Callithrix jacchus: one gene and its partner. The protein of the gene in region 1 binds, or shares a complex with, the protein of each later gene. Links are inferred from orthologs where the notes say so. Each region holds a gene or a part of one and is shown in the gene's direction. Other genes may lie near its edges. The genes, in order: LMAN1 and MCFD2.

Evidence for each region.
Region 2: the proteins of LMAN1 (region 1) and MCFD2 are in contact, whole or in part, in a cryo-EM structure (PDB 8JP5), measured with the Homo sapiens proteins. The link is inferred for Callithrix jacchus from reciprocal best matches to the Homo sapiens genes LMAN1 and MCFD2. Residues at the interface, in NP_005561.1 of Homo sapiens: His43, Arg44, Arg45, Phe46, Tyr48, Lys49, Ser51, Phe52, Lys53, Pro55, His56, Gln59, Ser60, Asp61, Val64, Pro65, Phe66, Trp67, Lys96, Phe265, Glu273, Lys279, Glu280, Ile281, Glu285, Lys286, Tyr289, Glu292, Phe293, Phe296; in NP_001164977.1 of Homo sapiens: Val59, Ile60, Asn61, Lys62, Gln70, Glu71, Leu74, His75, Phe77, Lys78, Tyr82, Asp83, Asn86, Asp89, Gly90, Leu91, Glu92, Thr95, Thr98, His99, Val100, Leu111, Glu114, Leu117, Ile118, Ile121, Asp122, Leu125, Asp129, Lys130.

The regions. Positions count from the first base shown.
Region 1 is NC_133514.1:102,360,477-102,364,305, reverse strand, and holds part of LMAN1 (protein ERGIC-53), read left to right. Parts: intron 1-844; coding exon 845-903; intron 904-1,631; coding exon 1,632-1,764; intron 1,765-3,829. UniProt on the Homo sapiens protein: Mannose-specific lectin. May recognize sugar residues of glycoproteins, glycolipids, or glycosylphosphatidyl inositol anchors and may be involved in the sorting or recycling of proteins, lipids, or both.
Region 2 is NC_133515.1:67,837,635-67,840,406, forward strand, and holds part of MCFD2 (multiple coagulation factor deficiency protein 2), read left to right. Parts: intron 1-229; coding exon 230-361; 3' UTR 362-2,772. UniProt on the Homo sapiens protein: The MCFD2-LMAN1 complex forms a specific cargo receptor for the ER-to-Golgi transport of selected proteins. Plays a role in the secretion of coagulation factors.

The DNA.
Region 1 (3,829 bases):
TTAATGGTCAGCCCCAGGCAGGACTTGATACGGATTTCTGACTCCAGGTTCAGTACCCTATTACACAACATAATTTCTTAAGTTCCTTAATCTATACTGCAGTATTATATTTTTCTTTTTAATCTGACTACATCTCTAGATCTGTATGCAAATAGTACAAAGCATAAAGATTGCTATATACTTGAAATTAATTGCTCTTGATTTGTGAATGTGACTATCCAGGATTAGTATTTTAGTTAAGGGTTAGGAAGTTTGATCTGCTGAGCCGGTGCTTTTGGCTTGCACAACTTAAATTTGATTTTTGAATATGATTTTAGGTAAGATAAAATTATTAATATCCTCCATGTAAGAGAAACAAATAAGAAAGTAAGACAGAAGGCATTAGGTACTATAAGAAAGATTCAAAGACATAAAGGTACCGGAATTATTTAGAGACCAGGATTTTGTCTCATTTGTCTGGTACATTGTCCATGAAGGGGATTTATGGGAAATCATAGAGGATCTTGGTACCAGAATAAGGAGTCTGGACTTCTTTTGACCCTTCATTTGTTTGTTGATTTCTTATCAGACGTTTATTAAACATCTATTACATGTTAAACACTACTAAATGTTCTGATTTAGGGTTTAAGAAAGTAACATTTAGATTATTTCTAATACAAATCACGTGAATTTTTGTCTCTTAGCTCACAAAGTTCCATTGCCTTTACCAAATTAGAGTTAATTTTTGTTAATTTCCTCACTGATTATTGATATTTAAAGCAATAAATACTGATAAAGTTCATTTACAGTGATAAAAGTAATCTCCTGTGGAACTTTTTTAGACTTTTTTTTTTTTAATTTGTAGATGACCATGATGTACTTTCCTTTCTGACTTTCCAGTTGACTGAACCTGGAAAAGAGCCGGTAATTTTACACATTTTTTCCAAAAAGTTTCTCAGTTTAGTGTTTTTGCCTTTTAGCTGAATGTTTGGGAAGACTAACAGGTTTGGAACTTGTTTCTGCCAGTTACTGCTATATGGTCTTGTGTAAGTCACTGAACCTCTGTAACGCTTCGTTTCTTAGTTGGTAAAACAGAGATGTTTGTATTGGCCACCTCATGATTTTGAAGGATTAAGACAGTGCACTTACAGCAGGGGCTCAGTAAATGGTAGCGGTTAATTATTAGAGGCAAGAGTAGGCTAGGTGTGGTGGCTCACACCTGTAATCCCAGCACTTTGGGAGGCCAAGGTGGGCGGATCACCTGAGGTCAGGAGTTTGAGACCAGCCTGGCCAACACGATGAAATCCCGTCTCTACTAAAAATACAAAAATTAGCCAGGCCTGATAGTGCACACCTGTAGTCCCAGCTACTCAGGAGGCTGAGGCAGGAGAATTGCTTGAACCTGGGAGGGAGAGGCTGCAGTGAGCCGAGATCGAGACACTGCACTTCAGCTTGGGCGACAGTGAGAGTCTATCTCAAAAAAAAAAAAAAGTAAATTTGTTATCATTAAAGTAAAGAAGGAATAATATGTTTATGTTAACCTTTCAGCTAGTGGTCAAATAGTTAAAATGAAAAAAATAGCACATATTGAGGTATCTTAATGATTTTCTTATCCTTTTTATGATCTATTCCGAAACTCCAAAAAAAATCAGCCTACACCAGATAAAGAAATTTCAGAAAAAGAAAAAGAAAAGTATCAAGAGGAATTTGAGCACTTTCAACAAGAATTGGATAAAAAAAAAGAGGAATTCCAGAAGGTCCACCCTGACCTCCAATGGCAGCCTGGTGAGTTGTAGCGAAGCATACGTGGGTGCTGCAGCCGGTGTTGGGGCTGATGATCATGAATGCCTGAGTTTGTGTGTTACTGACTCATCCCTGTTCTTTGAACTGGCACATTCCAAGTGATTCCTGGAAACAATTTATGAGTAAATCTTTAGTCTTTAAGAGTTGGGAGATTGGTATTTTTACCAGTGAGAATGTGGCTTAGTCATTTGTGAAATAGAGTACCATGGTTATGTGGAGGAATGGAACTGCCGGAATGAAAGGGATTTTGTTTGCTATATTCACTGCAGTGTCCGCTAAGCCTAAAAAGAAATCCAAAACAATTGCTAACCTAGTAGTTCAGGCTCAGTAAATGTTTTTGAATGAAATCATCAAAAGTTTATGTTTTTGCTTTTAGTGGCACATAGTTACCTTATAGTGTGGAAATAATCCTTAAAAACTATCAAAACTGCTGTGGAAGTAATATGATATCTGCTTCTCCCCATACTACTCAATAGAATCCTGGACTGTATAGTTGAAAATTATAAAATACTAGTCTAAGCCAATGTAATTAAGAAGTTGAGTGTGCTGATGTCAAAAATAAAACATTTTAAGGCCAAATTGAGGGACTTCATATTATCTGCCAACTTTTTATCTGAGTTGTTCCCCGTCAGCCTAAGTGATCAAAGGTATACTTAATAAAGGCTGAGGCTAGCATTTGAACACGCCATGTAGTATGCACTTCTCTTAATGATGATTAGTATGAATCAGATTTAATGAATTTAAAAATGAAACATAAAAGTCATTCTTATTTTGAATTTGCTTTAAACATCATCACATAAAATTTGTGAGTATATCCTGAAGTTGACTGTAGTGTTTGAAAGTATAGTTTGGTAAATTTTGACAAATACGTTTACCCGTTTAACCATCACCCAGATCATTACACAGAACATTTTTATCATCCCAGAAAGTTCCCTCTTGCCTCCTTCAAGTCAACCGCCTTCTCCACAGAGCCCATCACTTTTTATTGCTATCACTGTAGATTAGTTCTGCCTATTCATATAAGTAGAATCACATAGTGTATATGAAAGAGATATACTTTTCCATTTTAGGTTTTTGTTTTTTTTTTTTAATTGTACTTTAGGTTCTGGGGTACATGTGCAGGTCATGCAGGATTGTTGCACAGGTACATACATAGCAAGGTGGTTTGCTGCCTCCATCCCCTCCATTTTAGTTTTATTTAACTTTTTATATATTTAGGGAGTACAAGTGCCGATTTCTTATATGCTTATGTCACATAGTGGTGAAGTGTGGGGTTTTAGTGTACCGCTCACCCTAATGAACATGGTACTCAATGGGTAATTTTCAGCCTTCATTCCCCTCCCACTTTGGTAGTCTCCAGAGTCCGTTACTCTACTCCATATGTCCATGTGTACCTATGGTTTAACTTTCACTTATAAGAGAGAATGTATGGTATTTGACTAAGTCATTTCACTTGGGATAATGGCCTCCAGTTCCACCCATCTTGCTGCAAAAGACATGATTTCATTTTTATTTTATGGCTGAATAGTAATCTATAGTATATACACACATATATGCACACACATGCCCCATTTACTTTATCAGGTCCTCTGTTGATGGACACTTAGGTTGATTCCATATCTTTACTATTGTAAATAGTGCTGCCATAAACATGTGAATGCAGGTATCTTTTTGTTATAATGATTTCTTTCCCTTTAGGTAAATACCCAGTAGTGCGATTCTGGATCAAATGGTTAATTCTGTTTTTAGTTCTTTAATTCTTGGAGAACAGAATTCTCCACACTGTTTTTCACGAAGGCTGTACTCATTTACATTCCCACCAACAGCATATAAGCATTCCCTTTTCTCCACATGCTTGACAACATCTGTTGTCTTTTGACTTTTTAGTAATAGCCATTGTGACTTGTGTAATATCACAATGAGATAATATCTCATTGTGGTTTTAATTTGGATTTTTTTGATGATTAGCGACATTGAGCATTTTTTTCATATATTTGTTGGCCGCTCGTGTGTCTTCTTTTGAAAAATGTCTGTTCGTGCTCTTTGC
Region 2 (2,772 bases), on another chromosome or scaffold:
TATATTTTCTGTATATATGTAGAGAGAATATATAGATGGATTCCTAGAAGTAGCCCCATACTCCATTGAAAGTTTTTAGACACATATAAGCATGGACATTTTGTTGGTTTTGTTTTGTTTTGTTTTTAATAAACATTGCCCATGAAAGAGCATGGATATTTTGCACATTAGCTAAGCACTTCTTCCAGTAAAATGTGCAACTCATCATTGTCTAATTTGTATTTTGTAGGAAGGGAGTGAACAGGCACCACTAATGAGTGAAGATGAACTGATTAACATAATAGATGGTGTTTTGAGAGATGATGACAAGAACAATGATGGATACATTGACTATGCTGAATTTGCAAAATCACTGCAATAGAGGTTATTTGGCCATCTCCTGGTTATATGCAAATGTGACCTGTGATAATGTGATTGAACACTTTAGTAATGCAAAATAACTCATTTCCAACTACCGCTGCAGCATTTTGCTAAAAACCTGTAGCAGTTTTTTACACTGGGGCAAGAAGAGATCAAGAGAAATGAAAGAGAAGAGAAATGGGACATCTGATAGTCCCTAAGTGCTATTAAATACCTTATTGGACAAGGGCTTGCTTAAAGCATCTGTATTAGTGTGTTTTCATGCTGCTGATAAAGACATACCCAAGACTGGGAAGAAAAAGAGGTTTACTTGGACTTACAATTCCACATGGCTGGGGAGACTTCAGAATCATGGTGGGAGGCAGAAGGCATTTCTTACATGGTGGCAGCAAGAGAAAATGAGGAAGAAGCAAAAGCAGAAACCCCTGATAAACCCATCAGATCTCATGAAACTTATTCACTATCACGAGAATAGCATAGGAGAGACCTGCCCCCATAATTCAGTTACCTCAATCTGGGTCCCTCCCACAACACATGGAAATTTTGGGAGATACAATTCAAGTTGAGATTTGGGTGGGGACACAGCCAAACCATATCATTGTGCCCCTGGCCCCTCCAAATCTCAGGTCCTCAAATTTCAAAACCAATCATGCCTTCCTAACAGTCCCCCAAAGTCTTAACTCTTTTCAGCATTAATCCAAAAGTCCACAGTCCAAAGTCTCATCTGAGACAAGGCAAGTCCCTTCTGCCTATGAGCCTGTAAAATCAAAAGCAAGCTAGTTACTTCCTAGATACAGTAGGGTACAGATATTGAGTAAAGACACCTATTCCAAATGAGAGAAATTGGCCAAAATAAAGGGGTTACAGGGCCCATGCAAGTCCAAAATCCAGTAGAGCAGTCAAATTTTAAAGTTCCAAAATAATCTTTGACTCCAGGTCTCACATCCAGGTCATGCTGATGATGCAAGAGGTGGGTTTCCATGGTCTTGGGCAGCTCTACCCCTGTGGTTTTGCAGGGTACAGCCTCCCTCCTGGCTGCTTTCATGGCTGGTGTTGAGTGTCTGCAGCTTTTCCAGATACACGGTGCAAGCTGTTGGTGGATATACCATTCTGGGGTCTGGAGGATGGTGACCCTCTTCTCATAGCTCCACTAGGCAGTGCCCCAGTAGGAATTCTATGTGGGGGCTCCAATACCACATTTCCCTTCTGCACTGCCCTAGCAGAGGCTCTCCATGAGGGACCCGCCACTGCAGCAAACTTTTGCCTGGGCATCCAGGCGTTGTCATATATCTTCTGAAATCTAGTCAGAGGTTTCTAAATCTCAGTTCTTGACTTCTGTGCACCCACGGGCTTAACACCACGTGGAAGCTGCCAAGGCTTAGGGCTTCTACTCTCTGAAGCCACAGCCCAAGCTGTATGTTGGCCCCTTTCAGCCATGGCTGGAGTGGCTGGGACACAGGGCACCAAGTCCTTAGGCTGCACACAGCCTGGGGACCCTGGTCCCAGACCATGAAACCACTTTTTGCTCCTAGGCCTCTGGACCTGTGATGGGAGGGGCTGCCCTAAAGGTCTGTGACATGGACTGGAGATATTTTCCCCATGGTCTTGGGGATTAACATTAGACTCCTTGCTACTTACACAGATTTCTGCAGCCACCTTGAATTTCTCCACAGAAAATGGGTTTCTCTTTTCTATTGCAGAGTCAGGTTGCAAATTTCCAAACTTTTATGCTCTGCTTCCCTTATAAAACTGAATGCCTGGGTCTGGGCACTGTGGCTCAAGCGTGTAACCCCAGCACTTTGGGAGGCCGAGGCGGGTGAATCACGAGGTCAAGAGATCGAGACCATCCTGGTCAACATGGTGAAACCCCGTCTCTACTAAAAATACAAAAAATTAGCTGGGCATGGTGGCGCGTGCCTGTAATCCCAGCTACGCAGGAGGCTGGGGCAGGAGAATTGCCTGAACCCGGGAGGCGGAGGTTCTTATGAGCCGAGATCGCGCCATTGCACTCCAGCCTGGGTTACAAGAGTGAAACTCTGTCTCAAAAAACAAAAACAAAAACAACTGAATGCCTTTAACAGCACCCAAGTCACCTATTGAATGATTTGCTGCTTAGAGATTACTTCTGCCAGATATCCTAAATCATCTCTCTCAAGTTCAGAGTTCCACAGATCTCTGTGGAAGGGGCAAAATGCTTCTGGTCTCTGCTAAAACGTAAGAATCACCTTTACTCCACTTCCCAACAAGTTCCTCATCTTCATCTGAGACCACCTTGGCCTGGACTTTATTGTCCATATTGCTATCAGCATTTTGGGTAAAGCCCTTCAACAAGTCTGTAGGAAATTCCAAACTTTCCCACATTTTCCTGTTTTCTTCTGAGCCCTCCAGACTGTTCCAACCTCTGCCTGTTAC